Arabidopsis thaliana: one gene and its partners. The protein of the gene in region 4 interacts with the protein of the main gene of each other region in a pairwise test. Each region holds a gene or a part of one and is shown on either strand. Other genes may lie near its edges. The genes, in order: GATA10, GATA11, GOA and AL2.

Region 1 (8,149 bases), on a different chromosome or scaffold from region 4:
TTCTTGGGTACAGTTAGATAGATAGCATGAATTGGTTACCTGAAGCTGAAGCTGAGGATGACTTCAAAGGTCTTCTCTCTGGTGATTTCTTTGATGATCTCATCAATCACCTTGACGTCCCTCTTGATGACATTGATACCACCAATGGTGAAGGAGATTGGGTTGACAGGTTTCAAGACCTTGAGCCTCCTCCCATGGATATGTTCCCCACTTTGCCTTCTGACCTCACCTCTTGCGGCTCTGGCATGGCCAAGGCCCCTCGTGTGGATATTCAAAGGAACATTCCTGCTTTGGTGAGTTCTTTGTTTTTTTTATCACTTTTGCATTTTACTTGTTTTGATTTTTACCCAATTTGAGTAAAAAAAGCTTTTCTACCTGAAATTTTCTTGCTTATTTAGTTACTCATATAATTTGAGTGATGTCAATCTTTCACTTTCCGCTGTGTTTATAACCATAGTTAGCAGCATTCATGTAGAGGGTATTCCTAATCCGAGTATAATCTTGTGTCACTTACTTTACTGGTGCATTGATTGTGTTCCTGATTTTGCAATCCATCTGATTTGTTTGGTTTCGTTGGTGCAGAAACAGTCCTATTCTTCTGAAGCCTTGTCCAGCACTCTCCACCAATCTTCAGCTCCTCCTGAAATCAAAGTTTCGAAACTATTTCAGTCTTTAAGTCCAGTGTCAGTTCTCGAGAACAGTTATGGTTCTCTCTCGACCCACAACAATGGATCTCAGAGATTGGCTTTCCCTGTGAAAGGCATGAGAAGCAAGCGCAAACGCCCCACAACACTGAGACTTAGCTACCTTTTCCCCTCTGAACCCCGAAAGCCCGAGAAGTCAACCCCGGGCAAACCTGAATCCGAGTGTTACTTTTCTTCTGAGCAACATGCCAAGAAGAAACGCAAGATCCACCTGACCACCCGCACGGTCTCTTCCACTCTGGAGGCAAGCAACTCGGATGGGATAGTCCGCAAATGCACTCATTGCGAGACAACCAAGACCCCACAGTGGAGGGAAGGACCCAGTGGACCGAAGACCCTCTGCAATGCTTGCGGAGTGAGGTTCAGATCTGGTCGCCTAGTTCCAGAATACCGACCAGCCTCAAGCCCCACCTTCATCCCAGCTGTGCATTCAAACTCACACAGGAAGATCATTGAGATGAGAAGGAAGGACGACGAACAGTTTGATAGCAGCATGATTCGGGCAGTGATATCCAGAGGGTAAAGCAGTTTTTTTTTTAAAGTTTGGTCTCTGATCCGCAGAAATGGGAAGTCAGTGGAGGAAGAAGATGGTATAAAAGTAGGGTTTAGTGACTGTTTTCAAATCTGATGAAGAGAGTTTAGTGGTTTAGTTCAAGTTAGGGATATGAAATATTTTGTTGTTTCATTATGTGTTTTTATCTTTATCTCTTGGCTGACATTTGTGTATCAGAGGAAAACAGGTGAAGCCAAAGTTTGCTCTCTTTTTTTCGCTATTTCAAATCTATTCTTTTTATTCTTCAATCCCATAATCTTCTTCTTTTTTTCATCTGTTTTACTATTTTGCATTAGTTGAAAAATAAACGCCCATCAAATTCAGTCATGGAGGCTGCTTGCTTATGTACGTATATGATTAATGTTCAACAGAAGGAAACTGAAGTGCAAAAGAGTTTCTATGTAGGTTAAAGACGGACACCTTGGTGGTAAGCTAAGTAACAACTTCCTCTAGCTGACAACAACAGAAACTTAATGATAACAGAGAAAGATTAGAAAACAAAAGCTTTTTTCACAGAGACGAGAGACTCACCTACAAGAAATTTCAACTAAAACCAAGTTTTGTTTCATTACGCTCATACAAAATCACACTGTACAAGATGCTGACTCTAAACTCCAACTTCATGATCCACTTTCCAGTAATTGTTATCGTTGAACTCTTTCATTCCTCAGTCTTTAGGTCCTCAGCCATCTCCTTGTTCATCTTCATCGCTTGCTCCATGCCTTTCTCTGTCACTTGTGCTTCCACTCCCACAAATTCCACGTCCTTATCAAAGAAGGATCTTTCTGAACCGTTTGGAATCAAAGATTCGGTTTTGACGTCAGGCATTGGTAATGTCGAGGCTCATTATGTTCTTGGTGTCATCATCATCGATAAAGAACATTGATCTTTTGGTTGGAGACCTTAGCCTCATGACTTGTGAAGATGGATAACAAACCTTAGCCTCATTATGTTCTCTGCTTTAGTGGGTTGTTGGTACCCAAGGTCTAATCTTTTTGGTGGGTTGTGTTTATATACCCCAACCCAAAGGGTCTCTGATTAATAATTTGGAATGACTAATCGCAACTCATGTGTTCATTTCTGTGTATATAAATCCCAAACCAGTTGACCATTAAAAGCAAAAACAAAAATGACGAGACATTGAAAACTCCATCTACCTTTTTCTCCCTCCTCTTCTCTCTCCCATTCCCAAATTCGAACGAACCTGCAATCCCTAAACCCCCAATTTAGACCATCTCCAAATTCGTCGTCCTTTTCTCTGTGTAGTCTAATTATATATTACAAGGTTCTTGCTCTCCTCTCTCTTTCTTTCTTTCTTTACTGGGTTTTATATTTTGTTGCTTTGGTGGTGTGGGAATGAATACTTGCGACCGACACTTGTCTCACTGTTAAAAGAAATTGTTTCAATCTTCGTTACCTTCAAATGTCGTCATTGTTATCTGTTGCGAAATTGCTTTAAGTCTGTGTCATTAGTGAAACCTCGTAATTGAATTTTTTAACTTGTAATTTTTTGGTGGACATGGGAGCTGTTCTTGAACTCCTGCTGCATATGTGTTGAGTTTTAAGCTCATTTTCTAATCGCTTTACCTTTTCTTGGTTTACAGTAGATGAATTGGTTACCTGAAGCTGAAGCTGAGGAGCACTTGAAAGGTATTCTCTCTGGTGATTTCTTTGATGGTCTCACCAATCACCTTGATTGCCCACTTGAAGACATCGATTCCACCAATGGTGAGGGAGATTGGGTCGCCAGGTTTCAAGACCTTGAGCCTCCTCCCTTGGATATGTTCCCTGCTTTGCCTTCTGACCTCACCTCTTGTCCCAAGGGCGCCGCTCGTGTGCGGATTCCCAACAACATGATTCCTGCTTTGGTCAGTTCTTGTTTTCTTATCACTTACTTGATAGAGTTTTACCCTATTAGATAGAGTATATCATCTATTTAAACTGAATTTGTCTTGCTTATTAGCATCATTCATGTAGAGGTGCATTGATTGTGTTCCTGATTCCTGAATTTTAATCCATCTGCTTTCTTTGGTTCTGTGGGTGCAGAAGCAGTCCTGTTCTTCTGAAGCCTTGTCCGGCATTAATAGCACTCCCCACCAATCTTCAGCTCCTCCTGATATCAAAGTTTCATATCTATTTCAGTCTCTAACTCCAGTGTCAGTTCTCGAGAACAGTTATGGTTCTCTCTCCACCCAAAACTCCGGATCTCAGAGATTGGCTTTCCCTGTGAAAGGCATGAGAAGCAAGCGCAGACGCCCCACAACAGTGAGACTTAGCTACCTTTTCCCCTTTGAACCCAGAAAGTCAACTCCGGGTGAATCAGTAACCGAGGGTTACTATTCTTCTGAGCAACATGCCAAGAAGAAGCGCAAGATTCATCTGATCACCCACACCGAGTCTTCCACTTTGGAGTCAAGTAAGTCGGATGGGATAGTCCGGATATGCACTCATTGTGAGACAATCACGACCCCACAGTGGAGGCAAGGACCCAGTGGACCCAAGACCCTCTGCAACGCTTGCGGAGTCCGGTTCAAATCTGGTCGCCTAGTTCCAGAATACCGGCCAGCCTCAAGCCCGACCTTCATCCCATCTGTGCATTCAAACTCACACAGGAAGATCATTGAGATGAGAAAGAAGGACGACGAGTTTGATACCAGCATGATTCGCAGTGATATCCAGAAGGTAAAGCAGGGGAGGAAGAAAATGGTATAAAAGTAGGGGTTAGTGACTGTTTTCAAATCTGATGAAGAGAGTTTAGGGGTTTAGTCAAGTTAGGGATATAACATATTTGTTGTTTCATTATGTGATTTATCTTATCTCTCTCTCATTTTGCGAGCAATATGGTTGCACTGACGTTTGTGTATCAGAGGAAGAGAGGTGAAAGCCAATGTTTGCTTTTTTGCTTCTTTGCTTCAATCCCATAATCTTCTATTTTTCGTCTGTCTTAATATTTTATATTAGTTCAAAAGAAGTGAATAGCTTCAAATTCATTTATTGACTTTGTCACCCTTTAGGTTTACTATATGATTTGATGTTTGTCAAGCGAAACTAAACTCAAAAGAGTCCAAATATACTTTAAAACGGACAACTTCGTGGTAGGCAAAGTAAATAAGCACAGACAACTTCCTCTAGCTGACAACAACAGAAGCCTAATGATAAAAGAGAAAAAGATACATGCCAAAGAGAGAGAGACCCTTGCACCAAATTTTAACTAATAACAAGTTTTGTATCATACTCTCACACAAAATGACACTGTACAAGGTAACGACTTTTTCATTCCAACACTCCAACTTCTTGATCCACTTTCCAGTAGTTGTTATCGTTGAACTCTTTCACTCCTCCTGAACTTTCCTCCGGCTTTGAGTCCTCAGCCATCTCCTTGTTCTTCTTCATCACTCCAGCTTCTCCTACTATCCCTTCTTTCATCGCTTGCTCCATCGCTTTCTCTGCCCCTTCTGGTTCCACTCCCACAAATTCCACGTCCTTCTCAAATAACGATCTTTCTGACCCGTTTGGAATCATGGATTCAGATTTGACCTCAGCCATTGGTATGTCGAGGTTCATTATGTGCTTGCTGTCATCATCATCATCATCATCGATAAATGGGTTCAGACCGGTGCCACTCGCTTGCATATCAGATGGTTCTCCCCACCCGACCCATTCGGGTGGCTGTTCAGCAAAAGCTTCTTCAGCTTTCTGTGAGGTGTTGAAGTCGAAGAAATCCAGTGGACTCTCCATTTGAAAGTTGGTTTCAGTTGTGTTCAACGCGTTGTCTTTTGGGTTTCCAGTTAGATCATCGTCTTCTTCTCCAACCACAACTTCATCATCGTCACTACTGCTAGTGTTGGCATTATAGGTTTTATTCAATTCCACGTCTATCGTGTTCGAACCCGCTGTGTCAGAGGGTGTGCTGCCGAATCTATCGTCTTGGAATGTGAACCAATTCGAATTTGTAAACAAGCTGCGGCAAAATACCAAAAAAGATTCAAGTCATTATTTTGAGAGACGTCATCATTCGTTTTTTGGTCAAGAGAGATGACATAATTCAATCACCAAGATACAGTAACTGTAGTTTAAAGCAAGGACATGAGGACACCAGTATTAACAGATAATAAAAAGATAAACTCACCTTCCTTGGTCATCCCCAAGTCTTAAGGATGAAATTACTACTTCAGCAGATTCATCGTCGAAGTAAACATCCTGTATAGTATATAAACACATTCCAATTTTCAATAGCAAACTCTTATTAGCGTACATCCCCCATACGTATCATAGTGTGATAAAAGATGTTGATAGTTTCCTTGATTTTTCAAAAAAGCGGAGAGAAGAATTTTTGCAAGACTTACATCATCGTCTCTATCAAGGGCATTGTGGTCCTGAGAGAAATACAAAGACGATAAATTCAGTACCCAGGAAATCATTCATAAATTGAAGAAAAAGCACTAGTGTGAGAAGATACCTCTTCATTGTCATCGTTTCCATATATTTTGTATCTAAATGCTTGGCTTAAGTTATTGGCCAGAGCTGCAACATCGTAATCCCTGTCTTCCTCATCGCTATCTCTTGTCCTATCTTGTAGGGTAGTTGGGCGCCTACACGTAACAATTAGTTTAGGAATTTTTATAACCAAAAAGAGTGAAGATAAAATCCAAAACCCGGGACCAGATCATGGTGCATTTACTGAGTGGTCTCGTCATGAGAAGAAATATTATTTGACTATGATACCATCAGTCATCAATGCAGAATTATCTTTGAGGGTTTTGTCCAAGAGGAACAAGGATCACACATGAATTTTTACATCCATAATCAGCATTATGTAGCAGACTGACCAATTAAATGGTTACTAGATGATTTGTGAGTAGAGGTTAACATACCCACATCCCCATCTGTTGACATTTTCAACCGTGTTGCGGTCCTGCAGAACACTACCTTGCCACTCATTCCATTCGCTGTTTTCCTAAAGATTTGGGAATGAACAAAGCACAATCAGCAAACATGGTAGATTCCAACAGAGTGCTAGGACCATTCATCACAAGACTCAACTAATGGTTTTACATTCTTTATGCGTGTGAAGTGACAAAAAAGCGGCAGAAGAAAAACAACACGACACGTATAATTTTTATACCAACCTGAAGGTATGCCTTTATCTGGCCATTGCTGTTACTCAACTGACCAATTTTATTTGATATTCTTGTGATATGCCCGACATACCCGACACGAGGTTTTTTTTTCCCGGAGGCAGCTACAGTGGGCTACCTCGCACAAAAGAAAAAGAAAATGCCAGAGAATATTTGTTTAGCTAATGAACGCTGGAGCAATGAGTCAATGGAGCTAACTTGGAGCTGTATTAAGATGACTCTTTCATATGCTGATGATCAGTTAAACCTTTGTGAACATAGCAAATGGTAATACCTGGCTATCACCTAAGAGGTTTGAGTCCCTGTCCGACAAGAGGAATTTGCCAATCAGATCGCAGTCTCGAAGAATATGGTTAACCATCAAATCGCTCTTGTTTTCCAAACAAGAAAGTATTATACTCTCCACTTGATGATGCAGAGCATTATTGTACGGGTACCTTCATATGTCGAGAGTATTTGATTTTTTAAGATCTCGTAGAAATAGCACACGGTAATCACAAAATTTTAAGTTTAGCAAAACCTACTCGAAAAACAGATCAAGGGTCCTTTTGATTGTTCCTGAACTGACTAATTCCTTTTGTGCAGCTTCACTTCTAGTTTTCAACAAAACTGCAATGAACTCCACAATCTGAAACAAAGAAAATAAGATAAGTGAGTCTAATTAAGTATAGAGACTTTACATACAATATATTAAGAGCACTGTTGGTGTCCTAAAAACGACAATGTCTTCCATAAAATGCTCCATGTTTGGACCTGACCTTTAGACGATGCTTTCCGAGAGGAGGCCTCAGTTCACCATATGTTGTAGGCAATACTGTGCTATCAGATGCTACAGTGAGAAGCATAAGCAAGTCATCTGCAGAAAAAAAAAAAAATATTACTTAAGGTCATTGAATGCATAAAACCTGATTTGAAAAACTTGTATGAGACAGTATCATACATATCCAAGATGTGCTACGTAAGCATTCCAGAATTATGTAAAACCAGTTTCCATTTATCAATATAAACCAAAATAGAAGAGACCAAATAGAGAGCAGGGAAGATCAAACAGAACGTCCAGATAGATGCTAAATACTCTAGGTATCCTCGCAAATGGAAAGTAATATCACATAAGAAAAGGATTGACTATTGTCCAAGTGCACAATAAGATTATGTGCATGCAACAAATAAAAAAGCCAGAAAATTAATAATCTTGATGGTCATGTGACGATGGTGCATCATAGGATCCAACTTACTGAGTTTGGGCAGCATGGCACCAATAGTTTCTGGGGAAACTGGGACAGGAGACTCGAACATATGTTGACCTCTGTAAGAATTGAACATAGAAGATGAAACAGCAGATCTCCTCGGATCCAGAAGAGAGGTGCATACTGAAAGTGAATGAACTAGACCGGATTTTGAATGCGAGTCTTCAAGAGCATGACCAAATATCTTTGCAACGTAGCTGCAAAAACAGGGAAAAAGTTGTGCTGCCATGTGAAACACTTTTGTATCATCTATCAAAGCATTAGGAATCATCATGGAAGAAAGATTACAAACCCAGGGCTAGAGAGCTGCGTAGCTAAAGCTGACGGTGCATTCCGAGAAATTGCACATAATGTTTCTGCTGCATTTGCCTGAACCTCCGGAGGACTCTGATTCAAGTTGTAATGCAAGAAACATATCAGAATGAAGATGATAGAAGAAATTAGTAATATCATCAGATATCCTAGATTTACACCACCTACAAGTATCAAAGAGAAAACCAAGAGCCT
Region 2 (7,756 bases), on a different chromosome or scaffold from region 4:
TTTTCCTTGTTTTCGTAGGACCTAGTAGATAGCGAGTTTTGCCCCCAAAACAGCGATCGAGGGAATTTATGAGCACGAGATCTCGATTCCCCATACACGTAGGCCTCTGCTTCTCTCTCTTGTTCCTTTGTTCCTTTCTTTATTCGATTTTCTGGGTCCCTTTTGCCCTGTTTTTCCTCTGTCTCCTTCCCCCAAAATCTTTCGGTTTTGTTTTTATACAACTTGCAACCGTTAATGTTCATCCTCACCGATTGATCACCTACTCTTTTCCCTTCCTGGGTTTTGTTTCTTTCGAATAAAGATTGATCCTTCTTTCACTTATAATCGTTTTGGTAATCAGTAGGGTTTGGAATCGAGGCACAATGCAAATGAACTCTGTTTGGAAGCTGTCTCTTGGGTTATTACTTCTTAGCTCAGGTATGTATGCAGAATGGTTTTACAAAATTGTTCATTTGATAAAAAAGCTGGACTTGTCTCTGATGTTCTTGGAATAATTGGCAAATTATATCTCAGTTATTGGCTCTTTTGCGGAACTTGATTTTGGCCATTGCGAAACTCTTGTGAAAAAATGGGCTGATTCTTCTTCATCTCGTGAAGAACATGTTAATAAAGACAAACGCTCGCTTAAGGATTTGCTCTTCTTTCTCCACGTTCCGCGAACTGGAGGCAGAACATATTTTCATTGGTGATTTGATTTCCTTTACCAAAAAGTTTTTGAGAGATTCTTTTATGATTGTTGTGTGGTTAAGGCTGTGTTTGTGCTCTTGTAGTTTTTTGAGGAAGTTGTATGATAGCTCTGAGGAATGTCCTCGATCTTACGACAAGCTCCACTTCAATCCAAGGTATCTTAATTTCATCAGTGCTCTCGCTAATTGTACGTCTTTATTTGATGCCAAAGACTCTTTCTTGTGGAAACAATAAGATGGCTTACAGAATGCTGTTTGTACATTCTATTGGTTGTTAAGTTGACTTTAGATAGCTTAGCTAGACATATATAAAGTTAAATATTGTTTCATATGAAAATCAATTTTCCCTAGCCTCCTTTACCTAAAGAAAAACAATGTGAAAAAAGTATTTTGCCTGTGGTGTTACTACCTTCGGACAGTTAAGATCGTGTTGACTCGTAAATTTATAGGAAGGAAAAGTGCAAGTTGTTAGCCACACATGATGATTATAGTTTGATGGCAAAGCTTCCGAGGGAGAGAACTTCGGTGATGACAATAGTTCGGGATCCTATTGCGCGTGTGTTAAGCACTTATGAATTTTCCGTAGAGGTAGCAGCTAGGTTTTTGGTGCATCCCAATTTAACTTCTGCGTCAAGGATGTCTAGCCGCATACGCAAGAGTAATGTAATAAGCACACTAGACATATGGCCATGGAAATACCTAGTTCCATGGATGAGAGAAGACTTGTTTGCTCGGGTATGTCGACCTATCCCATTCGTCTTTTTTGGCTTTTAAGCTAGAACATGATAAGAACACATAAAACTTGGGCTGAAGCTTTTTTTACTCATCCTTGGCTTTTCTTAGCGAGATGCACGAAAATTGAAGGAGGTAGTGATCATTGAGGACGATAACCCGTATGACATGGAGGAGATGCTTATGCCTTTGCACAAATATCTTGATGCGCCTACTGCTCATGACATCATCCACAATGGAGCGACTTTTCAGGTACTTTTTCATGCTATTTGTTTAAGTTTTCAAAGTTATTGATTAGAGATCTCCAGAGCATTTTCATTTCACTTCACAGATTGCAGGATTGACAAATAACTCCCATTTATCAGAAGCACACGAGGTTCGGCATTGTGTGCAGAAATTCAAAAGCCTTGGTGAGTCTGTTCTCCAAGTTGCCAAGGTAGTAACACTTCTTCTTCATCATAGTTCACTGCGTCTTGGTATTGTGCTTTTAAAAGCAGCAGATTCTGTAAGCTTTTTTAAATTTTGCAGAGGAGGCTAGACAGCATGTTGTATGTTGGACTGACAGAGGAGCACAGGGAATCTGCATCACTTTTTGCCAATGTAGTGGGTTCTCAAGTGCTGTCTCAAGTGGTTCCGTCCAATGCAACTGCGAAAATCAAAGCTCTTAAATCAGGTTGGTGTAAGTTTCTTAATACCATCGCTGGGCTATCTAAGGAGAATCTAGCAACTTAGTTGAAGGACATGGTGATCATTTTTTTAGTCACAGTGTACAGTTTTTTCAGAGTACCGCTTTGGAGATGGTATTTACTTTAGTTTTTGGCTTTTGAAAGTCAAAACCCGTCATATTATTCATTAAAATGTTTGACTGATATTTTTCATTCACTTTTTAGGAGTTTGATTTTTAATTACCTAGGGAAGCTACTTATTGTTCTCTGTTATTTGGGGATTATCGTATAAGGTTTGATTGTCTTTCATCATGAAGATTTTTCTGATCTATGTTTCTTGTTGTCACATCATCTTTAAAGGTTCTCTTGCCCTCTTTTGTTTTAGACTTGTGTCTTGTTACTCTGGGTCCCTGGGTTTATTAAAGTTTCTTTGTTGGTTAATCATAGTCTCTTAGAGTAAGTAGAATGATGATATGACAGTTCATGTGCATACAGCCTAGGCTTTCTATTGCTTTTGTTGTATTTAAAGTCAGGATAACAAATGGTTGTACTTGCACTCACCAAATTGTCAACTTTATTTCCTTGATGCTTCAGAAGCAAGTGTCACAATTTCAGAAACCGGGTCAGATAAGAGTAATATTCAGGTAAAGTCCTGCTGCAGAAGGTAATAATTTGTTTGTTCAACTGTCATTTTTGTAATTGTCTTGCTGAAAATGGCTGTGACATTACAGAATGGTACATCTGAAGTTACATTGAATAAGGCAGAAGCTAAGAGTGGGAATGTAAGTAGAATCCCTTTTCCAATTTATTATCAACGCTTGAGACCTTGTGTGACTTTTATATATACACTTCAGATGACGGTAAAAACCCTTATGGAAGTCTATGAAGGCTGCATCACTCATTTACGAAAGTCCCAAGGAACCAGACGGGTCAACTCTCTGAAGAGAATAACTCCAGCAAATTTTACAAGAGGGGTAAAGTGTTTTCGTACATGATCTAAACTTAGTAAAGTTAATGAGAGAAGGCTGGAATAATGAAATCTTTTGACAATGCATCTAACAGACGCGTACAAGAGTTCCTAAAGAGGTCATTCAGCAGATCAAATCGCTTAACAACCTCGATGTGGAGCTCTACAAATATGCAAAAGTAATCTTTGCCAAAGAACATGAATTAGTGTCGAATAAGTTGATCTCAAGTGTAAGAAACTTCTTGTCTTCACATTTCGCCTTTTAGTTTCTGTCTGATATAAGACTAAACTCCATGATTCGTGTGCAGTCTAAGAGAAGCATTGTTGATCTGCCGAGTGAGTTAAAGAGCGTATTGGGAGAAATGGGTGAAGAGAAGCTATGGAAGTTCGTACCAGTGGCATTGATGCTTTTATTGATCGTCCTCTTCTTTCTATTTGTAAACGCTAAAAGGAGAAGAACCTCCAAAGTTAAGATTTGATCATTGTCACTATATTTTGGACCAAATCAGCAATTTGAAGAAGCTTTTGGGGTCCAATTTGTAATATTATTCTCTTTCTTTTTCTACTTTTCGTGGAAAAAGAAAAAGTTTTGGGTGTTGCCTTACCTTACAGGTGAAAAAGGGAAAATCACAAGTAAAAAAAAACTCTCTATCTACTTTATTTTAAAAGGCTAAACAAAACAGGTAAAGTCACAAAATTAGTGCTTCTTTTTTTTTTTTTGTTTAAGTGAGCTTAATCAATAAAGATAAAAGTAATAAGATTTCACAATTTTTTTTTTTTTTTTTTTTTGAGAAAGTACACTACTAACTGGTTTGAATTTGACTGTACCATTTTTCACGCAACAGACTGTGTGCAATTTAAAGTACAGTTCATACAAATCTCTATAAAACAAATTGTACAAAAGCAGTAAATATACCCCCACGTGATATTTGTTTTCTTATCAACGACGCAGTGTAAACAATAATATGTCAAAAATTTTGAAGAAAAAATCATATAAACTATATAAGAAGAAAAAATGAAAAGAAATATGAAGATCGTGTATATTAATTTTTTTTTATATAAAAAATACTAATAATAATAATTGATTGATGGGAGGAAGATAGTAAGTGAAAGGGATGAAACATATCATGTGGGAGATGGAAGCAAAGAGTTAGGCAAGGGACCCACTTTCCCATGAGGAAACGCCATAATCATCTTTATTATTATTATTATTTCGGTTCTCGTCTCTTAATCCTTCGTCGGTGATCTCTCCATTTCACTTTGACTCTCTCTATTATACTAAAGGTTTTTAGTATATTATGTTAAACCCAACTTATTTGTTTGCTACGTAAATTAAATTATACATCAATTCATGATACTATCTATTATTATTGCTAGAGATCGAGATCTATCAACCATCCTTCCCTCAAGGTTATTTTGCCATGTGCTTATCCTATTTTCCTTTTTAGATCTATTCCACGCAATCATTTCTCTATTTAATTCTTTTGACCATCATTAAGTGTTATTACCATCTTTTAATTTCCATGTCGACATACTATTACCATGTTAAAATGGGTAAATTCTTTCTTTTATCCTTTCATTACACCGACATATATTCCTTAAAACCCATTCAGATAAAATATTTGACTGATATTTTACTTACCTTATATATATCAGCTTTAATGATACAATATCTTTATTAATTGCAAGAAGAGGTTTAATGTTACAGTTGTACCCACAAGTTTTAGTGCAACGTTTTCAATTGACTTGGATTAACTTAACAAATACTATTACTACTTCAGTTAGTGTATATATATATTTATTGACATATGTAAAAGAACCAAAATTGAGTTTTTTTTTTCTTTTTGGTAAAACGCGTTGATAGAGAGATTTTTATTTCTCAAAGAAACTGATTAAGATTTTTCTTTAAAGTTAAGAAAAGCAGTTTCCATAATAATAATTTTCATATACAAGTAAGTAAGTAAGTAAGTAATAGTATTACATTATTATCTATTTTAAATGAATGAATCTCTCTCTCAAAGAAACTGACGAGACATTGAAAACTCCCATCTACCTTTTCTCTTTCTCTCTCTCTCCCTCCCAAAGTCGAACCTGCAATCCCTAAATCCCCAATTTGAGACCATCTCCAGTTCGTCATCGTACGACGACTCTCTCTCTCTCTCTCCTCTTCTCTGTATAGTCGAATTATATTACAAGGTTCGTTGCGTCTCTCTCTCCCTCTCTTTCTCTCGTTAGGGTAAAAGCTTTCTCTTTTATTGTGTCTTGTCTTGCATTTTCCTCTGTTACGTTTTGCGTTGTTTTCGAAAAATGTAGGAAATAAATTTGGTTGCTTGCTTTGTTGGTGTGTGAACCGACACTTATCTCTGTGATTTTTTTAATTAAATTCTCAGTGATGTTTGAAGGAATTGTTTCAATCTTCGTTACCTTAAAATGATGTCGTCATTGTTATTGTATTGGGTAAATTTTCTGTTTTGTAATTGTTTTAGCATATGTCTCTGTCTGATTGTGTCAGAGTTTTGAGTGAAACCCCCAAAGTTTTTTTTTTTTTATTTAACTGGACATGAAGCTGTTTTTGAATTCAGCTTTTGGTGAATTTTACGCTGATTTTTGAATGTGTTTTATCTTTTCTTGGGTACAGTTAGATAGATAGCATGAATTGGTTACCTGAAGCTGAAGCTGAGGATGACTTCAAAGGTCTTCTCTCTGGTGATTTCTTTGATGATCTCATCAATCACCTTGACGTCCCTCTTGATGACATTGATACCACCAATGGTGAAGGAGATTGGGTTGACAGGTTTCAAGACCTTGAGCCTCCTCCCATGGATATGTTCCCCACTTTGCCTTCTGACCTCACCTCTTGCGGCTCTGGCATGGCCAAGGCCCCTCGTGTGGATATTCAAAGGAACATTCCTGCTTTGGTGAGTTCTTTGTTTTTTTTATCACTTTTGCATTTTACTTGTTTTGATTTTTACCCAATTTGAGTAAAAAAAGCTTTTCTACCTGAAATTTTCTTGCTTATTTAGTTACTCATATAATTTGAGTGATGTCAATCTTTCACTTTCCGCTGTGTTTATAACCATAGTTAGCAGCATTCATGTAGAGGGTATTCCTAATCCGAGTATAATCTTGTGTCACTTACTTTACTGGTGCATTGATTGTGTTCCTGATTTTGCAATCCATCTGATTTGTTTGGTTTCGTTGGTGCAGAAACAGTCCTATTCTTCTGAAGCCTTGTCCAGCACTCTCCACCAATCTTCAGCTCCTCCTGAAATCAAAGTTTCGAAACTATTTCAGTCTTTAAGTCCAGTGTCAGTTCTCGAGAACAGTTATGGTTCTCTCTCGACCCACAACAATGGATCTCAGAGATTGGCTTTCCCTGTGAAAGGCATGAGAAGCAAGCGCAAACGCCCCACAACACTGAGACTTAGCTACCTTTTCCCCTCTGAACCCCGAAAGCCCGAGAAGTCAACCCCGGGCAAACCTGAATCCGAGTGTTACTTTTCTTCTGAGCAACATGCCAAGAAGAAACGCAAGATCCACCTGACCACCCGCACGGTCTCTTCCACTCTGGAGGCAAGCAACTCGGATGGGATAGTCCGCAAATGCACTCATTGCGAGACAACCAAGACCCCACAGTGGAGGGAAGGACCCAGTGGACCGAAGACCCTCTGCAATGCTTGCGGAGTGAGGTTCAGATCTGGTCGCCTAGTTCCAGAATACCGACCAGCCTCAAGCCCCACCTTCATCCCAGCTGTGCATTCAAACTCACACAGGAAGATCATTGAGATGAGAAGGAAGGACGACGAACAGTTTGATAGCAGCATGATTCGGGCAGTGATATCCAGAGGGTAAAGCAGTTTTTTTTTTAAAGTTTGGTCTCTGATCCGCAGAAATGGGAAGTCAGTGGAGGAAGAAGATGGTATAAAAGTAGGGTTTAGTGACTGTTTTCAAATCTGATGAAGAGAGTTTAGTGGTTTAGTTCAAGTTAGGGATATGAAATATTTTGTTGTTTCATTATGTGTTTTTATCTTTATCTCTTGGCTGACATTTGTGTATCAGAGGAAAACAGGTGAAGCCAAAGTTTGCTCTCTTTTTTTCGCTATTTCAAATCTATTCTTTTTATTCTTCAATCCCATAATCTTCTTCTTTTTTTCATCTGTTTTACTATTTTGCATTAGTTGAAAAATAAACGCCCATCAAATTCAGTCATGGAGGCTGCTTGCTTATGTACGTATATGATTAATGTTCAACAGAAGGAAACTGAAGTGCAAAAGAGTTTCTATGTAGGTTAAAGACGGACACCTTGGTGGTAAGCTAAGTAACAACTTCCTCTAGCTGACAACAACAGAAACTTAATGATAACAGAGAAAGATTAGAAAACAAAAGCTTTTTTCACAGAGACGAGAGACTCACCTACAAGAAATTTCAACTAAAACCAAGTTTTGTTTCATTACGCTCATACAAAATCACACTGTACAAGATGCTGACTCTAAACTCCAACTTCATGATCCACTTTCCAGTAATTGTTATCGTTGAACTCTTTCATTCCTCAGTCTTTAGGTCCTCAGCCATCTCCTTGTTCATCTTCATCGCTTGCTCCATGCCTTTCTCTGTCACTTGTGCTTCCACTCCCACAAATTCCACGTCCTTATCAAAGAAGGATCTTTCTGAACCGTTTGGAATCAAAGATTCGGTTTTGACGTCAG
Region 3 (7,355 bases), on a different chromosome or scaffold from region 4:
CAAGCGTGACATACCCCGGGTCGTTACTTTCTCCACCAACATGAACTTTAGCCTTTATTTTTTCCTGAGAAGTATGTTTGTGGATACTAGGAGGCTTGACAACTTCCTTCTCCTTCTTAGAAGACCTAGTAAGAGGCTTTTTGGGCCTTGCTTGACTAACATCTGTGACATCTTCAAGGCTGTCACCATCAATATCTGGAATATTGACCTCTTGATTTGCTGCTTTCAAGTGTGGCCATTCAAATGGTTTGAAACAATGTCCCTCGTTGATCAATCTCAAAATGTAATCCACCTTGGGATCAGAAACCTCTGTTTCCCAAACCAACTCAGATTCATTAATCATTCCCTTAGGTTCCAATGTATGTGCAACCACAAGCTTGTCATCAACTTCAGCATCAAGAATATAACTCTTACGAAGCAGAAACGCTATTGACAACCCCTCAGATGACCTCTCAGTGAAGTCCCGAAGATCGTTTGGATCTTTTATCCTCTCCAATATCACCGGAATGGATTCAAAAACTTGTAACTGAAGAGCTAGAGGAAAACCGTAACACGCACTCGTCTTCTGTTTCAAACGCTTCTTAAGTTTCCCTAACGGATTAGGTGCATCTTTAGGTGGCCCGAAACGACGAATAGTTGCGAGAAAAGCTTTTCTCCCCCATGGATACTCCAAAAAGAAGTCTATATCATTCAACATCTCCACAAAATCTAGAGTTACAAAGCTTTGGTCATTACATACAACAACACCATCCACAATTACAATGAGAGCTAAACAAAGCTTTTTCCAAGAGGAAAGTTTCTTCTTTTGTAACATCTCCAACACATCTCCAATAGTAACCATTCTTTTCTCTCCGAAAAGCCTATTCCACACAGACAAATACTTAGAATCCTGATGCTTCTTTACCTCATCTTCTGTTGGTAATTTACCACATCTAAGACCAGTCACTATATGAAACTCTCTTATAGAGAAACGTATTGGGTGTCCACCAAACACAAACCATAACTCGTGTTTCTTTTTAGTTACGACTTGTCGGGATAATAAACCATGTATCAGCTTACCTGAATGTGAGCATCGAGCGACAGGGAATTCGAACAGCTTACCAAATTGTGAACTTTTGATTCGTTCCCATTCTTCAGAGCCTTTGAGAAGGTTAGCAATTGTACCGAGATATTCAGGTCTTGAATATATATTAAGACGGGCTTTATCGGGATAGCAATCGACGGCGAAGAGACGTTCCGGTAGATTAGGGTTTGGATCTTTGATTTGGTTCATTGTTGCATGAATCGGAACTTGAAAATGGGGAGAAAAGAGATAATGAGAAATGTAAATCTTTAGGAGATCTTCAAAAAGATTTCGCCGCCGATCTCGAGGGAAGAAGACGTTGAGTTTGCATTCCCGGTCATCAGAATTTTATACTGATTTGGTTTCTCCGACCACTAAGGTGGACGACAACGGTGGTGTTAACTGGGTGGTGTTGTGTTGGAAGATTCAGTGGCAATTAAAGTGTAATCATTAGTTTATGTGAAGGGCAAAAAGGTCTAGATAGCATCAAGTCGTAAATACGTCTAACCGAAGTTAATTAATAGTCTGGTATCAACATAACCGAACCAAACCGGGTCAATACTTTTTACTATCAGTTGTTTTTTATAGATAGAGAGAAGTTATGGGCCTGTATTTGGGCCTGGTTGTGGTAGCTTAAGGAGGTGAAGAACGTCGGTGGGTTGTTCCCCACCGTAAAAAAGGAACTCCTCCTTCATTCGCCGGCGCAGGATCTTTTTGTCTTTGACACGTCATCATCTGTCTCTCTGCTTGCCACATCAGCTGCTCCCAAGAGCTTCCTTGACCCTAATTAAGTAGAAATGAAAAATGAGTTAGCTATTTTATACATTTAACTTATTTTACATGTAAAAGTCACATATACAGACGAAACATAAATGTTGAGTTTATTCATCAATAAGTATTTCCTATTAGAAAAAAATAATACAAACAGTTGAAAAAATGGTTATATGTAAATTAAGCTTTGAAAATTACATAAAATTAACATGTATTTAATGGAAAAAATATACCAAAGCCAAGAACTCACCTTTTCTTTTCCCTTAAGCTTTTGATCTGTTTGTTGCTGCTGCTGCTGATGCATGAACTCAGACTACATTATTAGTAAACAAGAGACAAGAACCTTTAATAAATGTATAGACTATATAAAGTGTGTATATTAACAGTATTATTTTACCTTGCGAGCTCGAGCATGTTGTAGAGAAGATTCGAGATGGAGCTCAAAAGAAAGGAGCTCGTCGTAGGTCAAGAGATTCAAGCCATGTCCGTCGTACAATTGAAGATTCAGCTTAAGATTCTCTATCTCTCTCATCATTGATTCCTTCGTCTTCACGCAATCTGAACACTGATCCTAAAAAAAAAAAATTTCAACAAATTTTTATTATATTCATATATAACATCCATAAATTTAAAACATGTGAAGATAAATATTAATTTGTGAATTATAACAAAAATAATTACCGAGTGGAAACTGTGTTCTGCAGTGGTTTGACCTTCTTTTTCCTTTTGGTATCTCATGATGAGATTCTCCATGCTGATGTTACAAAAATTAAATAAACTTAGGAACTAGAAAACAGAAGAAATTTTTTATATCAAGATGAGTTATTTCTGAATGAACTTTAATATGAATTTTCTTTTGGATCCATAATACAAAAGATCATAACTTTTCCTACATAGATCATAACTTTCCATAGAATTAAACCTGGTACATAATAAAATATCCCAAGAAAGCATATAAAGGATACAATACCAAATTATATGAAAAAAAAAAAGATGACCAAAAGCATTTCAAACTTGCGTACGAGTGAACAGAAAAAACTAAATGAAGCAACACTTTGATTAATCATCTCATTTCCTAGGCAAGATTGTCAGCATTTTATTTCTCTTAAGTAAATCAACGAAAGTTTCACAAAAAAAAAGAAGTAAACCAACGAAAAAGAAAAGATGAAACCAAGTGATGATGGTATTGATTAATTACAACTAGAAAAAAAAACTTCAATAACTCTTTTTTTCTGTCCATATTAAAGAGCATTCATTTTCTTTTCTTTTTGTTTTACCAAAACAAGAACACACATATGCATGATTTTATATATAAACCTGGTAGAGTTGGAGCAGAAATCGTAGAGCCTGTTGGAGTGAGAGAAGATGATGAGACCAAGGTGGACATCGCAGAGAACAGAGAGTTCATATGCCTTCTTGATTAGACTCTTCTTTCTCTTTGCGAATGTCACTTGTCTCTTTATTTTCTCCTCTATCTTTTTTATCACTCTCTTACCTTTCCTCATCTTCAATCGATCTATCTTTCTAAAACCCTAATTTCATGAGAATGTTAAACGAGAGAGTGAGATAGAGAAAGAAATGTGGTTGCTTTTTTTTTTTTTTTTTAGCAAATGAAACCTTGAGATCAACAGTTTCTATTTAGATAGGGACTGCTACTTTTGTAAGTATGGTTTGGATGGTTCATTAAATAATAATAGGTATTCTTACTAAATTTATTAAATAATAATAGGTATTTCTTTAGTTTGTGTTAGGATATGCTTATATTTAGGGAGAATTAGTTGTTATGACTTGTGAATTCGATTTAGGGTTTGAATGGTTATGGCGGTTGGGACGGACAAAACCGTCAACGAATCAGACTATTTTTATTTACAATTCATCAATGACCAAAAAAAATAGAAGAAAACCGCAGCGGATCATCTACGGACCGTTTTTACATACAAATAAACTTGGTCCGCAGCGGTTTATTGTTCGCCTCAAAAATGAGATGGACTAAATCGCAGACAAATTAAACCGCTTTGTCCGCTACCTCCATTCATAGTCTTACTGTTATAAATTACGTGTTGGGGTATTTATTTATTTTTCAATATTTTGATGATACACGGTCTATTATTTTTCTTGTAATAAGGCTTTAAGAGGCAAGTGTTTAGTTTAAGTATTGGTTTATTACATTCCATTAGTCATTCGATTAAAGTAGCTAGTGTAGAAAGAACCTAGTGCCAGAAGAAAAAAGATTAAAACACATTCGATTAAAAACACATTTGTTACATATCTTTATAAAAGTTAGAAAACCAAAACAAAAGTTGAAACTTGAGAGTATATAATCATGGACCGGCCGGTCTTGTCCATTTCTTATATTTCTCTATTCGAAATTGAAAGTATAATTAAAGAAATCGTGTGTGTAGGATAGTGCTTATACACCAACATTTGATTGCTAGTTCTATTTCCTTACGTAAACTTATAAGATCTCCAAATTAAACACATACAAAAAGTTACAAGTTCAATATTCATTGCAAAGATAATTTTCACATCTATTAATTATGTAAATTAGTAGTATTTAAGTTGACATGGACAGTTAACTGTTGGGACCATCGGTCCATGTGATTTCCCTGCACCTCAGATTCAGTGGAAGTAAGCATTAATCTTTGATTTTGTTTCTATCATAAATTAACTTCATCAGAAAATTTATTAATCCTATTTCAAACAAGGTCGTATCAATAAAACTTTTTTTTTTCTTCTTCGTATTAATAAACTTTTAACATCATTAATTTTCTGTTTGCTCTTTTTAAAGTTTTGATCCTGATTTCCTCATTATTACGTGAAAACAAATCAAAACATACATAATCACACATACAACCGAAATATCAAACCATTAAACTTTCATTTTTCAGATTACAATATTCAAAAAAAAAAAAAAAACAGATTACAACATTTCTGATATGTCGTTCAAATTAAATCATATTTATTCTTTGAACTTATTTATTTAATTTCAAAATGTAAATAAATAACATTAAAAAAATGTAGTACATATATATGTATTACAAATATGAAAATCTGAATACTCTTCTAGAGTATTCTTCACGGTGAATATTAGGTATTAGGTGCATAATTAAACTCTATCAAAATTAGATTTACCCTATCTTACCATTTCTTTGTAAGTATACAAGATTCATAAACTCTATAGAAAGTCTAGTTCCATGATTGCGTCTCAGCTCATGCAAAGAGAGTTGTGCTCATAAAACTTGACCAAATCTCCTTTTCCTTTTTGTCCATCTCTTTACCACTTACATATTTTCCCATAAAATAACGATTCCATCATATTAATTAAAGCAAAAAATAAACAATTAGTTGCCCCCCCCCCCCAAAAAAAAATGGTCACAATAACAATACTAGTCAAAACGTGTTATATGAGTTTCCCAGAAGTTTCCAAGGAAAAAAAAAGTCTTTACCCGTAAACATTTTTTCTCCATCTTCTTGATATCAACAAAACACACCTCAACAAAAAAAAAAAAACTTCATCTCTCTCAGATTTCGAAATTGACCCGTCGGTGATTCTTAATCTCTCCTCTCTGTTCTTCTCCGATCAAACCTCATTCCAAAGAAACAAACCATGGATCTCCAACCAGAAGAGCTTCAATTCTTGACAATACCTCAACTACTTCAAGAATCAATCTCAATCAAGAAACGATCTCCAAGAACCTTCTACCTCATAACCCTCTCCTTCATCTTCCCTCTCTCCTTCGCTATCCTCGCTCACTCACTCTTCACTCAACCAATCTTAGCCAAACTCGACAAATCCGACCCACCAAACTCAGATCGTTCACGTCATGATTGGACTGTTCTTCTAATCTTCCAGTTCAGTTACTTGATCTTCCTCTTTGCCTTCTCTCTTCTCTCAACCGCTGCTGTTGTCTTCACCGTCGCTTCTCTTTACACCGGAAAGCCTGTTTCTTTCTCGTCAACTCTCTCTGCGATTCCCAAAGTCTTTAAACGACTCTTTATAACTTTCCTTTGGGTTGCTCTGTTGATGTTTGCTTATAACGCAGTCTTCTTTGTCTTCCTCGTGATGCTTCTCGTAGCTCTTGATTTGAATAGTTTAGGTTTAGCTATTGTAGCCGGGGTTATAATCTCTGTTCTATACTTTGGTGTTCATGTTTATTTCACTGCTTTATGGCATTTAGGTAGTGTAATCTCTGTTCTTGAACCGGTTTACGGAATCGCCGCTATGAGAAAAGCTTATGAGTTGCTTAAAGGGAAGACTAAGATGGCTATGGGGTTAATCTTTGTTTATCTTTTCCTCTGTGGATTGATTGGAGTTGTTTTTGGTGCTGTTGTGGTTCATGGTGGTGGGAAGTATGGAACTTTTACTAGGACTTTGGTTGGTGGATTGTTAGTTGGTGTTCTTGTGATGGTTAATCTTGTGGGTTTGTTGGTTCAGAGTGTGTTTTACTATGTTTGTAAGAGTTATCATCATCAGACTATTGATAAGACCGCTTTGTATGATCAACTTGGTGGGTATCTTGGAGATTATGTGCCTCTTAAGAGCAACATTCAGTTGGAGGATTTAGATATTTGAAGATTTGTCAAGATGATGATTCTCTTGTACTGTTTTTCTTCTCTTATTACCATTCTCTCTCTCTCTTTGTAGTTTGTAATATTGGAGAAGAAGAAGAAATTTGGAATCTGAACAATAGTTTTAATGTAATGTGTATGTATTAGACTCAACACTCTTTGTTGTTGTTTTCATTTGATTATTATTACATGATTTGAGTTTACTAATTTATTCTTGTTGAAAGATGTGTTTTATTCTTCTCATGTTGATGATAATTATTATCCGTTAAAAATGTTGGGTTTTAGATGCTTAAATTGATAATAAATGAAGGAAGTGGCTTGTTTAGATATGTAATTAGCTGTAGGATTTGACCTTGGAATTAACCTACACTAAGTTAAGGTCGTAGGAGCAATTATTGTGGATACTTTTGTAATGTTTATAAATCTGAATTTTTGTTCGTGAGTGGGAGGTTTGGTTACACAACTTACACTAAACCGAATGGAAACCAAATTTAAAACTTAATTCAAAGAAGAAGAAGAAAACAAAAATACATCTTCATTCATTTTTAATCTGATTTTATCAATTTTTATTTTGTATTATGTGAATTTAAAGTTAGATGGTGATGTATCAACAACACTAACCCAAATAGTAACTAATGCTAAATATCGTGAATCATGATCAATGAAACAAATTTGGAATAATAAGTCAATGTGAATCATGCAATGTTTTGTTTTGTTACCCTGATCATGCATTGTTTTGTTTTGGAACAAAAATTGTCCTTTTTTTTGTTAATATATAAATGAATGAACCATATACATGCCACATAGATAACAAAATTTCGGTGAATCATGGAATGTTTTGTCAGCCTAAACTCCCAAGCAAGTATTGGTGGTACATCGTTTTGAGTTCTACTTCTATAGTTCTATGTAACCAAATATAAACTGAGATTTGATTGGGCCTTTTAATTCTGAA
Region 4 (8,270 bases):
TCTTGGTACTTTGCCGCATCCTGCATCATCCAAAGAGGATAAGCCTACTGCGCCCGACCCTGATCAGGTGCTACTTTCTTGTCTGTACCTTCGTTCTGTTTGCCTTTTTCCTGGCTAGTTAAAAATTGGGTAGTGTGCACTTTTGTCAATTCTGTAGGGAGAGAGCTTGAGGATTGCTTGGCAGTATCGGAAGTATTTGGAAAACCAGAAGAATGCTATTGGTAATTTAGTTAGTGCGGTTATATATTCATTTGCATATCATTCAAGAATAAATTGAGCTACTAGTAAGTTAGATATCATTCTTTGGAAACATAATCCTCTTTACCTATTCTGGATCAGATGATTACTCCAATGACTTTGATATGAGAAAGCCCTTGGAGAGGCAATTTCTGAGCGGACGGCCCATAGATTGTGTCAGTCTGTTAGACTCTTCAGATCTTTCCATTGCTCAGGACCACTGTGCTACGTTTTTATCAAAATTTCCAAGGTTGTGTGGCATCCTTTCTTATTTGATCTCAATTACTCGCTCTAGTTTCGAATCAATAAATTTTGTTGGTCATACCTATGCAGCAAATTCTGCTCAAGCTCAATTCTTTTTACATCTCTCTTATACTTCCAAGCTCAGTTTGTTTATATTGTTTTAGTTTGTTACTGAGTCAGTTATTGTTCAAATTCTTCTCTTATTTACTGGCTTTGTTAAGTAGATTGTCCTTTTTTTCTTAAGAACCTGTGTATTGTTTCCCACAGAAACAGCAGTAACATTGCATCTATTGGCCGCATCGCAATCCAGTCTTTTTGCTCTCCCCTGTGTGAGTATTCTGAAAAGGTAATTAGGAGAGTTTTCTGGAACTTTTAGCCTATATCAAGTCAACAATGCTTTCTAACGAAAATTCTCTTGACTCTATAGTTAATGATAGCTGAAGCTTGTACCAGTATCACGTCGTTATGTATTATATTGTTGATTTTTTGACATTTTGTTTCTATCAACACAGGAATCAGACATGCTCTCATTCATAAGATTGCTGAAAAGTATGCTTATGGTTTCAAATGCGGTAGCCATTGTTACTTTCCCGCCTTCCCTGCTCTCCCCATCTTCCTCTAAAAGACTGCAGCATATGGCAGATACCTTGCTCTCTATCAAAGCAATCCCAGGTTTGCTTTCCCTGATTTTCTTATTCATAAATAGATTATCATAGTTGTTTCTTGACAAGTATCCTTGCCTTTTTTTCCAGATGGTGACAAGGAATTGGAGAAACTCCTCACTGGCTACAAGGATATAAATGGATTCCTCAACATACACAAGGTTGCTCGTATCAACACACAGGTATTTACAAATTGTGTAATTCTCAATTTATATAGGGATATTATTACCCTGAAACCTGTAAGCAAGAACCCCTTTGTATTTTGCCAAGTCAAAAAAACATATTCAATGGATAAAAGTCTGATGAAATTCAAAATGTCTACTGAACAACTTATCCAGAAATCCCCATCTAATCCATTTTTCTCTCTTTTGATGAGAATGACATGAACTTGCTTAGAAACCGTTGAAAAAATGGATTCACTATGGTCCTAAACCACTGGTTTGATCTGAATTGTTTAATGGAACAGGTGCCTGTAATTCTTGAGGCAAAAACCTTCTCAATGAGCTTGAAGAAGAGAAGATTCTTGGCTCTAGAGTGTCTGAATCAAGCCCCTGTAGACGGGTCCAGTGGAACATCGTATGGCACATCTGGTAGCTGCTCATCCAAATCCGGAGCACTAGATTTTTGAGTTGCTGAGTTAGTCTTTCTTTTCTTCTTCTTAGTTTTTTTTTTTCCCTCTCCATTGAGTTCTCTAAGTTCACTCACTAACCTGAGCAGTTACATTATTATTATAGTCTTTGGTCTTAAAAACAGTTTTGACAGCAATATGTTTTGTTTTTATAATGAAATTTATTTCATTTCTGTATTATATATACTCTTATGAAACTATGACCAATGATAGATGCTAGTTACTAAACGTTCAATGTAATCACTTCAACATGTTCACGTGGTTATTTGTTGAACCATCCATATATATAACATATAAAGAAAGAAGGTGAGACATTGAATGAAGAGTTCAAAAATATGGTTGATCTATATTTGGTGCTCCTTTAATTCAGTGTTCCTTTACTTACCAACCAACGACCATATCATTTGAATTATTGCTCATAAATCTCTCTCTCTACCCAATCTCTTTATTTAGTACCCTATTCTTCTTGACTTTGTTTCTTTCCAAAGCTTATACAAGAGATATTCATTCTTAAACTAAGATTTTCATATATATTGAAAAAGAAAGAAAAGATTTCTCATCATTTTACTTTTTGGTAGAGAGCATTTCAAGTAAAAAATACTTTGAGAAACAAAAAGAGAAAACTAGTATGAGAAACAAATCCTTAAAAAAGGAAATAACAGTAATGCACGTGATGATATAACAAAAGGTTTTGTTTTGTTTGTTTTTTTATTGTTTTTTTCTTCTTTTATTTGTCTGTTATAATAATCAAAAAACAAGAAGAAAAAACGAGACGTTCATGCATTTAATCTCGCACCTTACGACAAAGAGTGAGAGAGAGGATCGCTCAGGTTTGTTCATCTTCACCGGACGATTAGCTTTTGCGGTGGGAGAAAGAACGGCCTGTCTTCAGCTCTGAAACAGAGGAACAGAGAGGTTAGGAAGGAGACAATGGTTGGACCCGCGCGGCCTCAGATCGTTTTGTTTGGATCTTCCATTGTTCAGATGAGCTTTGGCCATGGTGGTTGGGGCGCCATTCTTTCCGAGGTCTACGCTCGTAAGGTATCGTCAGATTCATCAATCTCTCTCTCTCTGTGGCTTCTGGATTCGATATTCATCCTTGGTTAGATTACTAGAGCGTTGATTCTACAAGTAGATCGCTTATTCTAATTACTCTGTATTATTTATTATTTTCCCTAACTATACATTTGTTCATTGAAATTCGTCTTTTGTTTTACGATTGTAAGCGTGTATTATGCGAACCATAATGTTATTTCTCCATTTGGATGTTATGTGTATAGGCCGACATCATTCTGCGAGGATATTATGGATGGAACTCTTCTCGTGCTTTGGAAGTTGTCGACCAAGTGTTCCCCAAGGTACTCTTTCAACTCCCTTTTTTTTTGCTTCTTCTCTCTTTAGACTATTAGTTTCTTCAATACTAGATTATGATAAAGATTCAGCGTTTTATAGGTCTTTATATTAGTCCGTATAGGTTGATGTGTGCTTATCATTTGACCTAGTAAGAATTCTTTGTGAACATTATTTTACTAGTTCAAAATGTACCCCAAAAGGATTACACAAGTGGCTATTTTAGTTGCATAGTCTTTGATTTAGCATACAAGACTCTGCATCTGTTTCAAGGGAGATGTCTCTGTTTAAGCATAATCTGTTTCATCCGAGTTTTCTTGATATCTCAAGCTGTTTTCTCTTACCCATTATAAAAAAAATTTGGTAGAATGAGCTTAACTTTGTAGAAAACCATCATATTCAAAGCTTCTGTTTTCTTCCACTTTGTCGCCTAAAAATTGCAACTTGTTACGGATGCAGGATGCTGCAGTACAACCTTCTCTGGTCATTGTCTATTTTGGAGGAAACGACTCAATGGCGCCTCACTCGTCTGGACTAGGACCTCATGTACCACTTACTGAATATGTTGATAACATGAAGAAGATCGCTCTTCATCTTCAGGTTTATACTTCCTTTATAATTGTTAGATTTATTATTTATCTCCTGTCAGTCACGTTTAAAAGCCATTTCAAGTGCTAATTTCTTCCTCTATTTTCTGTTTCAGAGCCTTTCAGACTTCACCCGAATCATATTTCTTAGTTCTCCTCCAGTGGATGAGGCTAAAGTTCGCCAGAACCAAAGGTAACTTCCCTGAATTTCTTCACTATCTCTCTGTTTCTCCTTATTCTCTCCGGCCTTATTAATATAGATGTGCTTCTTTTTCTCTCACAAGCCCATACTTGAGCGAGGTAATCCGCACAAACGACCTCTGCAAGACTTATTCAGATGCTTGTGTAGAGCTGTGCCAAGAACTCGGCCTAGAAGTAGTTGATCTCTTCTCTACTTTTCAGAAAGCAGATGACTGGAAAACTGTTTGCTTCACGTAAGTATTTTTTGAGTTCTGAAGAAATATAGAGAGACCTTTGATATATATGACTTTCTCAGAGTTTCCAAATGCGATAACCGGGAATGGAGTATCGACGATGTTCATTGAAATGTTTTAACGGTATAGTCTGGTTTGTTACAGAGACGGGATTCATTTGTCAGCACAAGGAAGCAAAATAGTAGCGGGAGAGATACTAAGAGTGGTTAAAGAAGCGGAATGGCATCCATCACTTCACTGGAAATCAATGCCAACAGAATTCGCAGATGACTCTCCTTATGATCTTGTATCAGCAGATGGCAAACAGACAGTAAATTCTTCAGAATGGACTTATTTCTGGGAAGAACAATGGGACTAAACATTTCAACACACACAACAACAACAACAAGACCCTATCTTCACATAATTCACTGTCTTAATGTGATAAAGCTTTGCTTTAGATTGTTTACATTACAAGTGTCTCTGCTATAATCTGATTCAGTTTCGCTCGAAAAACGTTACCATTTTAAAGTTTATACTTATCTAAATCTTAAATCACAGAAACACACCAAGTTTGTGTTCAAGTAATTTCTTTTTTTCTTGTTTACATTTTACAGACATTAACAAATGTCTGAAACTCATCACATAACACTCCTCCAGACAGGGGTTTAGTGTTTTGAAGGTAAAATCACAAAGTAACTAAATTTGGGCCGATAACAAAAAAGTCGCTTAGGAGATTGGACTTATTTGGGCCTAAAACCTAACACTTAAGGGCCCAACTAAAATGCCATTTACCTAAAAAGCGACGCATCTTCGTCTACTACCAAACCTTTTCGCTGACGCAACCAAACTCCCAAAAATAAAAATAAAGTTTTTATTTTCTCTCTCTCTCTTATTTTTCTTCTCCTTCTTGTTCCGTCTGCTTCTCTCCATCTCCTTCCATATCTATTGTTCTCTCTCTCTTCATGCCCGAACGCATCGGGTCTCAAAAACCATTGATACAGACATCGATCCTTGTCAACTAGTACTGATCTATAAATCTTATAAAAATCTGTAGAGATATGGCCGCCGCAGCCGTTTCCTCTAACCCTCGCACCGTTGAAGAGATCTTCAAAGATTATTCCGCTCGTCGTGCCGCTCTTCTTCGTGCTCTCACTAAAGGTCTAAATCCTCTCTCTCTCTCTTTCTCTAAATTTCCCAGATTTCTTCGTAATGCCTTTGGATTCGTCCTTTAACTTGTTCGTTTTTGTGATTTTTTCCAGATGTTGATGATTTTTACTCTCAATGCGATCCGGGTATGAAAGATTTCGACTTTTAGATACCCTTTTATGTGTTTTATTGAGATTTGATTTCAATTTTTGGGTGTTTGTGGTTATAGAAAAGGAGAATTTGTGTTTGTACGGACACCCTAATGAGTCATGGGAAGTGAATCTACCAGCAGAGGAAGTGCCTCCGGAGCTACCTGAGCCTGCTCTTGGTATCAATTTCGCTAGAGATGGTATGCAGAGGAAAGATTGGCTTTCTCTTGTTGCTGTTCACAGTGATTGTTGGTTGCTCTCTGTTTCTTTCTACTTTGGAGCCCGTCTTAATCGCAATGAGAGGTATTTCTCTTTTTCCCAACATTTTGATTCTGCATTCTCATTGTTTTGTGTTTTCTTAAGCCATGTCTCCAACTTTTACTTGATTTCAATGGATTCTGTGTTGTTCTTACATGAAACCCCATAGTTGTTTTCCATCCTGGCTCTTCTCATGTGAAGTAAAAATTGAAACTTTGTGATGATGATGGAGTTCGTTTGGAATGAGATTGTCTTTGAATTTGCGTGAAATGAGTTTTGTTTTGTTTTGTTTTTTTCGCTATTCGTCATTCATATCTATGGAGTATTGTTTGTTGCATGACTTCATCTGTCTAAACTTTTTCTCAGCTCTTTTGGATATTGTAATGGCTAAACTTGAAACTTGATTATCCTCCCTAATTTTAAAAGCCTGGTATTTGCTATTCTATGAAATCTGAAAACGGATATTCTGTGGTCGCATGTGCTGAATTTCACCATTTCATTGTTACATCTGAACACCCATCTTAGTAACTATGGAATCCAAAGAACTTTACTGACAAAGGTTTTGTGAAAGTTAAATTTTGACAAAAAAAATTGCTATTTGATTAGTACTAATGAGATCATTTTACTGTCTGTCTGTCATATATTCTAGAAAACAATGTTATTTTGGTTATTATCTGTTTCATTGTTCTTCAAGAGAGAAGTAGTTGTTGGCATTTAGATAGGTTTCAATTAAAGGTGCAAGAAACTGGACTTTGTTTTCTCAACCAGTAGTTTCACTATACCATTAACAAGTCTCTAAAGTGATCCTCTACCATTTTAGTCCTCTATCTTATTTACACTAGACTAGTAAAAAGCATTTCGTAAGATGCATTTCCAAGGATAGAGAATTTAACCCGACAGAGCTGCAAACAAATAATGCTAGATAAAACATCACAATTGTGTGTTGTACTGATATGAAGATTCTGGTTCGTTTTTCCTCACTTTCGCTTGCTAATCTAGTTCTTAGCTTATCTTAGCTGCCTTTTTCAATGTGTTGTCCACTCATGGAGTTATATTATTCTTTTGATTTGCAGGAAGCGGTTATTCAGTCTGATCAACGATCTCCCAACTCTCTTCGATGTAGTGACTGGTAGGAAAGCCATGAAAGACAACAAGCCAAGCTCGGACTCAGGAAGCAAATCCAGAAATGGCACTAAGGTACACAAAATAAGGAGCCTCCTTTCTTCTTTTTTGTTATCTGGTTTCCCTCTTTGAAATCAAAAATCGTAATTAGCAGAGATCAATAGACGGGCAGACAAAGAGCTCAACACCGAAACTAATGGAAGAGAGCTATGAGGAGGAGGAAGAAGAAGACGAGCATGGAGACACTCTCTGTGGAAGCTGTGGAGGTCATTACACAAATGAGGAGTTCTGGATTTGCTGTGATGTTTGTGAACGTTGGTACCATGGAAAATGCGTCAAGATAACTCCGGCTAAAGCAGAGAGCATCAAGCAGTATAAATGCCCGCCTTGCTGTGCAAAGAAAGGAAGACAGTGATGCTGATCAATTGATGATGATGATGATGATGATCTCTCAGAGAGACTCTGGTTCTCATGTTTTAATCAATATGTTAATCAACTTTTTTTCTTTTCTTCTCTTTTTTTCTTTAACCTTCTTAATTTTAAAGCATACAAAACTCTCTCTTTAGATCTCAAGAAAGGGATTTCAAGAAGTTGAGGGAGAGAGTAGCAAACTGTTTGAATAATATTATTATTATTCATATTAAAAAAAAAAAAACTGGGTTGTGTCATCAATTGTGTTGTGTCATGGGGTTTGTATATGTTAGACTTAGTCAAATCTTTAAGCTTCGAACCGAATTTTGAACAAATATGTTTTTAATCTTCTGTTAGGTCTTTTATCTGTCTTAAGATATTGTTTTTCATAATTTTAAAGAATATTATTATCCAATATTATGTGATATGTCAAAGTGATAGTCTTCTCATTTGGCCGGAATTGTAAAGAGCCAACATGTTTTCCAAGTTCTAAAGGGCAAGTAAATGTGATCGCAAGCCTTAGAATTGGTAAGTTTTATAATTAACCATCAAGATTGTCACAAATCATCTCTAAATCCAAATCTAAATTTTTCAATCAAATTTGCGACAATAATCAAATATTTTTATTTTTTAAAAAAAAAAATACTATTTATTTAGCATCATACTCAATAAGAAATTCATGAAATGTTAATAGTTGACAATCGACTGAATTTAACTAAATTTTAAACTCATCGACTGAATATTTATTCGACGATAATGATTTGTAGCCTAGTGTTTTGGTTTGTGCTAATTAATGCATGTTGATGATAATAATAATAACAATGATCAATATTCAAAATCAATACAAATCAATTTATAAATGTGATCATGCATGTATGTAATATCAAGAAGGGCGATCCCAAGTAAAGCCAGCATGAAGATCACAAATTCACAATACAAAAATCTTAGTTTTGGGTATTCAAAGTGATATCCGTCCAATCTTCTTCGTAAACGTTACTTACAAGCTCCCCCAAGTCCCCAACTATATATGATAAAGAACTTAAATCGGATCTAACAAGATT

What was found.
Region 1: the proteins of AL2 (region 4) and GATA10 interact in a two-hybrid assay, tested with the Arabidopsis thaliana proteins (one large-scale study listed by BioGRID).
Region 2: the proteins of AL2 (region 4) and GATA11 interact in a two-hybrid assay, tested with the Arabidopsis thaliana proteins (one large-scale study listed by BioGRID).
Region 3: the proteins of AL2 (region 4) and GOA interact in a two-hybrid assay, tested with the Arabidopsis thaliana proteins (one large-scale study listed by BioGRID).

Annotation. Positions count from the first base shown.
Region 1 is NC_003070.9:2,479,280-2,487,428, reverse strand, and holds GATA10 (GATA transcription factor 10), read left to right. Parts: upstream 1-1,702; 5' UTR 1,703-1,917; coding exon of another isoform or gene 1,918-2,085; 5' UTR 2,086-2,542; exon of another isoform or gene 2,543-2,861; 5' UTR 2,862-2,864; coding exon 2,865-3,125; intron 3,126-3,303; coding exon 3,304-3,969; 3' UTR 3,970-4,189; downstream 4,190-8,149. Other genes in the region: GATA11 (GATA transcription factor 11), read left to right, coding at 27-293, 583-1,227; AT1G08005 (serine/threonine-protein phosphatase 6 regulatory subunit), read right to left, coding at 1,918-2,085; AT1G07990 (SIT4 phosphatase-associated family protein), read right to left, coding at 4,531-5,218, 5,387-5,457, 5,604-5,633, 5,717-5,849, 6,132-6,214, 6,387-6,509, 6,670-6,832, 6,920-7,023 and 3 more. UniProt on the Arabidopsis thaliana protein: Transcriptional activator that specifically binds 5'-GATA-3' or 5'-GAT-3' motifs within gene promoters. May be involved in the regulation of some light-responsive genes.
Region 2 is NC_003070.9:2,485,348-2,493,103, reverse strand, and holds GATA11 (GATA transcription factor 11), read left to right. Parts: upstream 1-5,018; 5' UTR 5,019-5,246; intron 5,247-5,253; exon of another isoform or gene 5,254-5,286; intron 5,287-5,597; exon of another isoform or gene 5,598-5,688; 5' UTR 5,689-5,701; coding exon 5,702-5,968; intron 5,969-6,257; coding exon 6,258-6,902; 3' UTR 6,903-7,256; downstream 7,257-7,756. Other genes in the region: TPST (tyrosylprotein sulfotransferase), read left to right, coding at 363-417, 514-685, 771-842, 1,136-1,421, 1,530-1,670, 1,750-1,854, 1,947-2,091, 2,678-2,727 and 4 more; AT1G08005 (serine/threonine-protein phosphatase 6 regulatory subunit), read right to left, coding at 7,593-7,756.
Region 3 is NC_003070.9:11,114,015-11,121,369, reverse strand, and holds GOA (GORDITA), read right to left. Parts: upstream 3,430-7,355; 5' UTR 3,340-3,429; coding exon 3,152-3,339; intron 2,589-3,151; coding exon 2,516-2,588; intron 2,406-2,515; coding exon 2,232-2,405; intron 2,148-2,231; coding exon 2,085-2,147; intron 1,847-2,084; coding exon 1,697-1,846; 3' UTR 1,585-1,696; downstream 1-1,584. Other genes in the region: AT1G31150 (K-box region protein (DUF1985)), read right to left, coding at 1-1,273; AT1G31130 (polyadenylate-binding protein 1-B-binding protein), read left to right, coding at 5,442-6,407. UniProt on the Arabidopsis thaliana protein: Probable transcription factor involved in the regulation of fruit growth. Contributes to integument development. Controls organ size via cell expansion. Involved in the regulation of longitudinal growth of the fruit evenly throughout the radial axis.
Region 4 is NC_003074.8:3,507,330-3,515,599, reverse strand, and holds AL2 (alfin-like 2), read left to right. Parts: upstream 1-4,941; 5' UTR 4,942-5,181; coding exon 5,182-5,281; exon of another isoform or gene 5,282-5,382; coding exon 5,383-5,415; coding exon of another isoform or gene 5,416-5,498; coding exon 5,499-5,721; intron 5,722-6,749; coding exon 6,750-6,873; intron 6,874-6,952; coding exon 6,953-7,213; 3' UTR 7,214-7,604; downstream 7,605-8,270. Other genes in the region: ELO1 (Paxneb protein-like protein), read left to right, coding at 1-67, 158-221, 340-487, 748-826, 993-1,152, 1,233-1,324, 1,609-1,770; AT3G11210 (SGNH hydrolase-type esterase superfamily protein), read left to right, coding at 2,701-2,811, 3,051-3,128, 3,580-3,720, 3,824-3,900, 3,992-4,141, 4,286-4,499.